2 linked regions of the Drosophila melanogaster genome follow. The protein of the gene in region 1 purifies or fractionates together with the protein of each later gene. This does not show direct contact. Each region holds a gene or a part of one and is shown in the gene's direction. Other genes may lie near its edges.

What was found.
Region 2: the proteins of igl (region 1) and Fer1HCH purify together in Drosophila melanogaster (affinity purification with mass spectrometry, with the first as the bait; one large-scale study listed by BioGRID). This does not show direct contact.

What each region holds. Positions count from the first base shown.
Region 1 is NT_033778.4:15,153,131-15,158,651, forward strand, and holds the start of igl (igloo), read left to right. Parts: upstream 1-2,306; 5' UTR 2,307-2,787; coding exon 2,788-3,085; intron 3,086-5,521.
Region 2 is NT_033777.3:30,385,106-30,389,973, reverse strand, and holds Fer1HCH (ferritin 1 heavy chain homologue), read left to right. Parts: upstream 1-2,354; 5' UTR 2,355-2,443; coding exon 2,444-2,510; intron 2,511-2,564; exon of another isoform or gene 2,565-2,862; coding exon 2,863-2,871; exon of another isoform or gene 2,872-3,090; intron 3,091-3,145; coding exon 3,146-3,256; intron 3,257-3,377; coding exon 3,378-3,655; coding exon of another isoform or gene 3,656-3,676; exon of another isoform or gene 3,677-3,717; coding exon 3,718-3,990; 3' UTR 3,991-4,172; downstream 4,173-4,868. Other genes in the region: Fer2LCH (ferritin 2 light chain homologue), read right to left, coding at 1-277, 532-558, 646-763. UniProt on the Drosophila melanogaster protein: Stores iron in a soluble, non-toxic, readily available form. Important for iron homeostasis. Iron is taken up in the ferrous form and deposited as ferric hydroxides after oxidation.

The sequences.
Region 1 (5,521 bases):
GGCAAATGATGCGCAAAGTTTTGGGCCTAAGACTCTCGAGTCTCGAGACTCGCGTTGTCAGTCATTTTATCAGGACTTGAAAGGGTTTATGTGTCTCTGTCGTTTTTGGCCTCATGAAGTGGTAGTCAAGTGCCAAGGGACTTTGGAATTCTCGCCCTTGGATTTTGCCACCAACTTTGAGGCTCTTCTGTTTGTCCCGGCATTTTTGGGGTGTGCAAATTCACGCTTTCAAGGCTGTTTTTCCATCAGTTTCCGAGCGGCGACAAGTTCCTGCTCTTGTCCTGACCCATCCCGCTTTTGTTCGCCAGAGTGCAACTGCTGCGATGGGGACGAGATCCTCGCACTTAATTGCTAGCCTTTTTGGCATCCTACGTGCTCGAGAATGTGAATTTTAAAGGGGAGACTTAAATCAATGGCTTTGCAACAGCGATATTCTCTTATTTATTTTTCTTTGGCTCGATTTTCCAGCAATATAAATTTGTCTCTGTTCTTTTTGGAAAGCTCTTATTAAATTTGAATCGAAATTCAGAAAGCCCTGGTGGATTTTATGTCCATTGAAACTCAATTAATTTGTACAGTTTCGATTTTTTTGTAGCTTGACTATAGCTTTTATCAAGGCTGCACCTTTTAATGGACATGTTAATTAAATGGTCTCGCTTTAATTAATAATTTTATTGTGCTTAAAACAGAGCTCTCTGTTATTGGTACATATTTACCAATGCCTTTCAGCCTGTTTCTGCCCCATTTCGGGCTGTTTATTCTGCGCACTTATGCCACGTTTGCAATGTGAAGCTAATTTGCATATGCTCAGACATCTGTAATATAATAACATATGTACATACATATGCGGGATTCATTTTGTGGGTAAGCAAGGGAAGTTTTGATTAAAATTGGCCCAAGGCCTGCATATCGCCCACTTTACGAGTATTCGTGGCTTGCACTTCAACTAGACTATGCGCACTTCAGCTTGATTGTTATGGTACTATCTCTAAGATAAAAGGTGGTATACACAAAACTTTATTGCCATCCCAATTATACACTTTAATTCTAGAATTTATAATTTATTCATAAATTCCATACTTTTTAAATTCAAAAGTTCTAAAGCATTGCAAATTAAGTGGGAGATTTTGGGATACAATAACTAAGCAATACAGGGAACTACAAAGGAATCGCAGACACAATAAAAGCTAAACCAATTCATTTGTCTCACGCACACCATCGCAGCGTCTTCACTCATACATAAGCCAAAGAGCCAACTCCCAAATATTAATGCCAAGACAAAAAGGAAGCCAGATGACAGCTGAGCTGTACGAGATGCAAAAGCTAGTTGCTTTTATGAATTGCTATATATACTCAAGGGAGCGGCCGGTGCTCATTGATATTTTTATGGGCCAGGTTTTCTGCTTGAATATATATTCTTTTTATTTGCATTCATTTTGGCTGGGCTTTCTTCATTCAGCTGTTTGTGCCTGGTTACACGCAATGTGTATGTATGTGTGTGTGTGTGTGAGAGAGTCCTTTGGCCTGCGCTGGTGTGAGTGTGGCCATTCCTTTCTCGATGATGATGCCATTGCCTTGGCTGCCTTTGCCGCTCTTTGGATTCTGGTTGTGTTGCCACCACAACGGTTTCTGCGGCGCCTCTAAGCCACATTCCTAGCATGGCTGTGTGCGTGCGTATCTGTGAGTCGGATTCGGCAGTCGGTTTGTTTATTTGCGAAAAAGTTTGCAGCCAGCGCTGGCTAACAACAACAGAGGCAGCTGCTGCCGTTGCCGCCTGGATAGAGCCACTCTCTTCTCGGGTCTCTTTTTTAGTCCCTTGCTAAACAGTAGTATACATGAAGGAAAAATTATTTAGAATAAATATTTAGACAAAAAAGTCATTTATTTGCCACTTAATACATCGTTGTAATATTGTTCATTTATAAGAAGCTTATTGAAATTGAATTAATTCATTGATTTGTAGATCCCAACATAAACTTAAATATCATATCCTGATTTTGTGATTATTGCCAAAAAAAATCAGAGGAAAAGTGGCTTTTGTTTAACCATTTATTTTTATTTTATTTAATTTCTTTGAAATTTTGAGACAATTAAGTTCTACACATACATGTATAAACCATATATTTTTGCCCACTGTGAGTCCTGCGAGAGAGCGGGAGAGAGAATTCTCTCGCTTCCTATTCCTATCTCTCCTCGAGGTCCTGGCTCTCTGTTTCCCTGGGCTTTGTGTGTCGTTGCCTGCCGGCTGGCGCGTCGCTGCTTGTTGAGCTCGAAACTCCAGCTCCTGCAGGATGTGGGGATATCGGGCATTCGGGGTCCGTGGCATCCGCAGTGAGGACGCGTCGCCGGCGCCGTTCAGTGTCAAAGTCAGTTGTGCCTGAGCTTGTGCCAGAGACAGTCAGTTTCGCTGCGAGTCTGCCATCCAGCTGGTTTCCGCTTCCGGTTCCGTGCGAGTTCTTTGGCTAGTAAATTGTGGTTGTGCACCTTTTTCTAATGACTTTTGTAAACACCAAAGTTTTTTGAACAAAAAAAATTACCGAGGCACAACGTATTTTTGTAAACATTTAATGCGAAAAAGGTTTCAGCTCGCGAAAGTCAAAGTGCAAATTGGCCCAGAAACAACAAGTATCGTTTATAAACTAGTTTCCAGTTCGGATGTGTGTGTGTGTACTATAGTGTGTGTGTGTGCAATTGATTAAACAACACAAGGGTAACCTAGGCCAACTGGAAGCGTAGAGACTCCATCAAAAGCCGCGGACTAAATTGCCAAATCCTCGATCCAATAAGATGGGCTGCAACACCAGCCAGGAGCTAAAGACGAAGGATGGCGCAGCCATGGATGCGGTCAGCAACGGCGAACCGGAGCCCAGTGCTCCTCCCTTGGAGGGCGAGTCATCCAAGTCATCCGCTAGCAATCATACGAATCACGCCAAATCCAGTTCAATTATCTCCAACGGCGAGGCGAAGGCGGCCAACGGGGGCGGCGCAGTTGGCGGGGGGAGTGGCAAGTCGGAAGCAACAAATGGCATTGATCGTCCCTGCGACAAGGCGGCAATCACGGAGTTCAATGACGACGAGGACGAAGGTAAGGCCCGTTCAATCTCCGATATCCAATACATTCATATTAACGACTGTTCAACATTCGGTGTGCGTGCGTGTGTGTGGGTGCACTTGGAGAAAATGTTCATCACATCAAAGTGTGGTGATTTTCCTTACTTTCTGAATTAAGAAAAATCTTTACAGCTATAGTAAAAAACCGAAATTGTACAAATATTTAAAGAAGCGAAGAATAGACACTAAATTTTTTTTAGTTTATAGGACTTTTTTTCGGTGTCCTGTGTGTGTGCGGATGAATGAAAATCCTGTGTCCAGGGGTTCGAGTATTATTTACTGTATCAACACGCTGGGAGCACGGCGTTATCGCATTTGCCTTTTTTCTTTGCCACTTTTCCATTTTCCCCCAGTTTTCCGGGCTCCCCGCGGCCCGCTGCTTAATGGTGTCGCAAATATGAATTGTTTAAGTGTATACACATATATGTATATATAAATTTATATATAAAGGGATGTTTGCATTTGGATGTATACACTGCACTCCATTACACGCCACTACATCCGCAAGCGCTTTTATGCGCCCGATGGCAAATTTGTGTTAGGTCCTTAACTTTGTTAAGTAGCCGCCTCGTTGTCCCACAGTCGCCTTGGGCATTTTTTTTCCCCAATGCGCATTAACGTAGGTTATGCTCCTGTTTATGGTATCTAATAAGCGTAGTCAGAAGTCACTTTTATGGCCAGCGATATGGGCCGCAGGATAACACAAATTCCATAGCTTGCTTTTGGGGGCACAATTTAGTTTACGACATATGATTCGCAGTAAAGTGATAATAACGTTTACTTTGCTTGAAAGCAAAAAACCTTTAACGACATATCAAAAATTGTCTACTTTTCTATAATATTTGCTTACAATACAAAAATGTATAATTAATTCTATTTATAAATGTACACGTAAAGTTATGGCCTCATTTGTTATTCTTCTATTGTACGAAATTAAATTTTAGTTGGAAAAATAACTCGAATTATTTAAAACTTCTGCCATAATTCACTGGAAATTTTATATACTTGCCTCCTGAAAATACATACATATCCAATTATTTTCAATTTACTTAGTTATTCATTTAAATTTTCACCACAATAACTTTTTACTCAGCCCAAATTTGGATGCAAAGTTCGGGGCTAATACCATTTGCAAACCCCAAAAAAAGGAGGAACTTTGTGCGGTTTATTTGCTCCTTTTTGATATAATGAAAATATGAAAAACCATCGAGGTGCACAGCGTTTCCAGAGACTGACTCATAAATTACCACAGCCAGCTTTCCCTTGTGGCAGGTGCAGCAGTAGTAGTGGCAGAAACTGTTTGTTTTGCCGCCGTTTTCCGCACGTTTTCCCGCTCCCCTCCCAATTTTCATTTCCCAGTTTCCCAAAGGGAGTGCTGATAAATTGTATAGCGACACTTTATCAATGGCTGACTGCACGGGAAAAGTTAGCCAGAAAATTTCGCTCCCTGTTAATGCCACAAATTATTATTATTGCTTAGCAATTTTCCCGCTGCCAACAGCTTTTAATTTGCTGGTTTATGTGTGCTGCTCACTTGGTTTTCCTCGTAACATTTGCCTTGAAATTAACTCAGCTAATTGGGGCTTCTTGGAATCGCTGAAATATTCTGGATAATCCTTGAAAGTTTGTGCGTAGCAAGAAAATTAAATCAGTTCTTATATTCACGGTAAGGCTATTCAATATTCAATTTCATTTGGGCTGTAGTGGTTCATAAATATTCGCCAGCTGCCTTTTCTTTTTTACTTGCCATAAAGTTCCTTACTATAAAGTTTAGGCCGCTCCTCGAACTTTTTTGATTTTCCTCTGCAGCAGCGTAAAAGAAAAGCGTAATAAAACATACAAATAAACTAACGAAAAGAAGTGAAAACCCAAATCAACCATAAAACTGCCGCTCGGTTACGCCATTTATGCCGCCACCCAAAATATTTTGTTAAACAAACACGTAGGCTGTATTTCAAATTGATTCCGCTTGCGAGTGAAACGAAATTAAAAACGTAAATCCGTAAATGCTTAAGTAGAAACTGGGTAAATTTTCTGCGGTCTGTCAAATAATTAAGATATGGCGATGACGAGGTCAATTTCGTTTTATATTTCACTTCCCTTTTCCCCGTTTGGACACGCCCAAAGCGAAATTACCTGCGAATTGCGAATGGGCCAGGAAGGACATAAATTGGCAATAAAGATGTCAACTCATGCAAAGTATAAGCCCAAACAAACAGACACGAGAGGAAAGGCGACGGCACATGCTAAGTCCTTGCTAAGCTCCTTTTTAGTTGCCTTCGCTTAATGTGAAACGCAAATAAGCGCCCTCCAGTGTTGGTTGATCCTGCTCAAGACAAGCAATTAAACTCGACACACACACACACTAACTGGTTATAAGGAATTATCCCTACTACAAGATGCTCTATAG
Region 2 (4,868 bases), on another chromosome or scaffold:
GTGCTCACGGAGCCGGAAGACTCGTGGCGGGTGTTGAAGTCAACGATTCCTCCGCGACGGGTCACCTGCTTGATCAGGGCAATGCTGTCCTCGAAGGAGCGGTCCGAGAGTCCCTGGTACAGCTTCTGGAAGCCGGGGCGGTTCTTCTGGTAGGAGTTGAAGTGGGTGGCCAGCAGGAGGTAGTCGTACGACTTGGCCAAGTTGGCGTTGATGTAGGACTGGATCTCGGGCTCAATATGGTCAATGCCAGCAAAACGGGCATTACAAATGGAGTTGGCTACGGGGAAAAAGCAAATAATAAAGATCACACTCTTAGAATAGGAGAGCAGAAGCACATCCAATAGTAATGACATAGTCTTAATGGTTCCTAACTAGGTAGTGCCATACTAAACAAGGCAATAGAATTTTGAATTTGTATTTGTATCTTTAAAATAATAATGTAAGGGCCGTAATGCAGTAAGAATTGGAAAGTGTTCATTTTCACGAAATCTGAGATAGTGCAGAAATACATCCAATCTATATTTCACTTACTCTTGCCTGTGAAAAAGCCCGTGAGCGCTTGTTTTTATTATTATGTTTTACAAAGATACAAAAAGCAACAACACAGATTAGCCACTCTCTCTTAGAGGCGCTCTCTTTACTCACCCGAAAAGGCTGACGTAGAGCATGCGGTGATTACAGTGTTCTGGCAATATTCATCATCCTTGGCCAAGGCAAGAGAGCCGAGGCACGCAAAGAGAGCGAGTGCAACGAAAAATTTCATGTCGACGGTTTACTGTAAATTAAAATCAAATTCGAGAGGCGAAAACAAAGGAAATTAGTTTCACAACAATTGACAATTGGAAAACAGACACTTTTGTTTTCATTTTGGGCGAGTTTTTTCGTTTTGCGTCGTAGCGTTTTCTTGAATTTTCTGTGCTCTTTTTTAACAACAAAACCACCACCAATGGAATGTTTTGGTTTTTAAATTTATATGGTGGTCGGTTTAAAAACACAGTTTCCAGAATATTATTTTCTAGTTTTCGTAACTAAACACTCACAAAGTAGTTAGTTAGTAATATTAAAACTCACTTCCAGTGCCTGTGCTTTTATTAATAATTCAATCGCTTTATGTGCTTCTTGGTGAAACTCTGAAAATCAACTGCTGTTTATAGCGTCGCGTACGTCTCTTTCTATGCGATCGATATGGCTGTGTGTGTGTGGTTTTGGAGAGCGTGCATGGGCATGTGTTGTTTTGCGCTCAGTGCGGGATTTCGGTGTCATTCAAATATGGCCGCTGCCAGTGCTGTTGTTGCTGCGCCTGCTGGAAGGTGACTCACGACAGGGTTGTCAGCGTGTGCAAAATATGGACGCTGCACTTTGGATTTCAAGTGGTTTCCTGAGAGTTTTATCAGCTAACGATGAGAATTGAAAATAAACTGCAGATAAACCATCTACCTCCTAAGATAATGTTTTAAGTTTTGATATATTGGTAATTCACAGCAGCATCGAGCTTGAGACTGTTGCTATTTACAATACATATTATTGCTGGGTTCGGAGATAATGTAGGGTTTCCCCAATCAACAAACAAATTATGTAATTTGTAAGTTTTCCCACCATGTATCCTTCTTATCAAGTGTCATTCTTGGAGCTCTGCAAGCGACACGTAAAAAAGAGCCGTCGCCATATTAGCAGTTATCAAAGTGGGTGACTGATCCCCCCTTCGAACGTGCAAATCAACTTGACAAAATGTGAATTAAATTGTCAGCAATAATTAAACCGCCTGGCAACACATGACGTGGTGCTCTCCCACGGCCAAAACAAAAACAAAGAACAGCTGATGCGCATCTCAAAAGAGCGGCCATATTGCATTTGATAAATTTACTTCTTAGTAAGTGGGGATTATCTGACTAGGAAACCCGACTTTATACAAAGTATACCCATATTGAGGACGTGTGTATCACATTGAGTGCGGCAATTATCGGGAATATTCAATTATCAGCCATTTAAACGGTTAACAAAGAACGGGCGACATGTTGAAAAGATAACAGTGCACACTCTCCCATCACTCACACACACACGAAGAAAAACCGAGAGCGCGCGCGCTTAAAAGTGTTTTGTGCGCCGTTCGGAGCGACAGTTCGCTTTCGAGTTCGCTAAAACACAACGTAGAAAGGCCTTAGCTCCACTGAAAAATCAGATTAAAGCTGTCAGCAGAAGGTACTGGAAAGCATTCGAGAAGTCGAAAATAATCCCAATCAAGCCCATCAAATTGAAGCAGGCGACGCCTTCTGCGCCAGTGTGTGTAAAGGCAGCTAGATTTTCAATTTCAACGCCTATTTAACATTGTAGCTCAACTCGAGTCGCCTCATTCTCATTTGTGCATTTCAAGCAAATCAAACTAAAGTGAAAAACAAATTTTTGTTCTGTGATTTTGTGTAAAGACTACGTTCGACGATCAAAGATGGTGAAACTAATTGCTAGCCTGCTCCTGTTGGCCGTGGTGGCCCAGGCCTATGGAGATTTCAAGTGTAAGTACTAATGTTACGTTTTATTCATCAGAATTTCAAACAAAACAAAGGCAGGTCATCGGAAAAAAAACAATAAATTTCGACGCAATACGCAAAGAGAAGCAAAACATTTGTAATGCGTTGAAAAGAGCATGCGCCGTTTCTCTTTGACGCTCTTTCACTCTCTTTCGTCAATGAAGTGAAGTTACCAAACCAGTTGATTTAAAAGTTATTGATACTTCCGTTGCGCTTTGGGGAAATGATAACCAGTTTTTATACATAAATTTTCATAATTAAATAATGCGAATTTCGCTTTCATTTCCATGAATATTGCGGTATAAATAAGCTTGACTTTTTGTTGTTACATTTCAAGGCGCTCTTTGCACACGGCTTTTACGGGCCGAGTGAGCTAGCATGGTGAACCATGCTTTTTGCACACGGCACTACACGAAAACAAATGCCGTTACTATGGCGGCGAGAGCTGCGCACGTTACCAATGCAGTTACAAAAACAGAGAGAGAGAGTGGGAGAGTAGGCCATTACAGTTTTGCACACGGTTTTTGTGCCCTAGAATAGCGGCATTTCAAGCGCAATTTCAAAGGTTTATGCAATTACGCCCTCTTAAATGCAATAACCAACAACGCCCTACCCCTCAGCCAAGCAAGAAAGCAAGAGTTTCGTGAGAGAGCTTCAAAGGGAGCGAGAAGAGCATCAACTAAAAGAAAAACAAAACCTAAGCCATGAAGGTCAAGACCAAGAGTGCAAAGGTTTTTAAAATATTAAAATTTACCTAAGTTCTGATTACAAAAATAAATTTTTTAAAGCTGAATACTAGCCATATATTGTTATCGTGGTCCCCCGACTTAACCCAACCTTATCCCATTGCAGGCTCCCTGGCTGTTCCTGAGATTACCAAGGACTGGGTGGACATGAAGGATGCCTGCATAAAGGGCATGCGCAATCAGATCCAGGAGGAGATCAACGCCTCCTACCAGTACTTGGCCATGGGCGCCTACTTCTCCCGCGACACCGTCAACCGCCCTGGATTCGCCGAGCACTTCTTCAAGGCCGCCAAGGAGGAACGTGAGCACGGATCCAAGCTGGTGGAGTACCTGTCCATGCGCGGTCAACTGACCGAGGGAGTCAGCGATCTGATCAATGTGCCGGTAAGTCGACGACTCGCCTAGAAAACCCAAAAGCCCAGCTAATCCTGGCGAATCCCCCACAGACTGTGGCCAAGCAGGAGTGGACCGATGGTGCCGCCGCCCTGTCCGACGCCCTCGACCTGGAGATCAAGGTGACCAAGTCCATCCGCAAGCTGATCCAGACCTGCGAGAACAAGCCCTACAACCACTACCACCTGGTGGACTACCTGACCGGTGTCTATCTGGAGGAGCAGCTCCACGGACAGCGCGAGCTCGCCGGCAAGCTGACCACTCTCAAGAAGATGATGGACACCAACGGCGAACTGGGCGAGTTCCTGTTCGACAAGACCCTGTAAGGAGGTGGAGATAGAGAAGGCGCAGCGCCCAGTCACGCATCAAAATTATCAGCCAGTCGAGTTATCTGTTATCTGTCAGCCCAGAGAGCCTTCCCGAGGGTCCGCTATTAAATCATCACCAGCCAAGTCGGCGACTGGCCAATAAATTATCCGTTCGACTGCGATCCTCAAACCAGCACAGCAAAATTCCACGTCTGTTCTTTCTTATCAACCACTTGTGATTTCCGTACACCTCGGGAGGGGGCTCCACATTATGCAATCGCCGAGATTTCGCCTAGGCTTAAGTGGAATCGCTCATTCGCATAGTAAGACACTCAGCACAACCCATTCAATACATCCTATATCTTTATATTTTTCTGTCAATTAGACGAGCAAGTTCTTAAATAAATAACAATATATATGTAACGAAATAAACTGTATATGCGTTTGTTTTTGAGGGAGTTTTTTCAGATGGAAAACGAGGGTGATTTTATTCTTGTTGATAATTTTCGATGGGGATTTCACAGAAAAAGTGCTATATCTTGGGAAAGACACGTCCAATTGTGGAGTGGAATACCTCGTTGAACTTGTAAAAATATTCCTAAACGACGGGTAACTCATTTAGAGAAATTTTTGGTTTGAAAATTTTTTCGATTTTTTATGATGTTACCCCTTACAAAAAATGCGAAATTTGGCCGAAAAATTATTTTTCCAAATTAAAGCAAATATTGATATGGGTCTTTAGCTGAGGACCCCAGCTGACTAAAAAAGTGCGTTTTTCAGCCTTGTGACATATTTTGGCCAACTTACAACGAAAAAACTGTAAAAAAGGTGTTTAAAACTGGAATGTTTAAGGAAAAAGAAATTGTGTTTTTGGGAATGGTGAAGTTGTAGGTTAT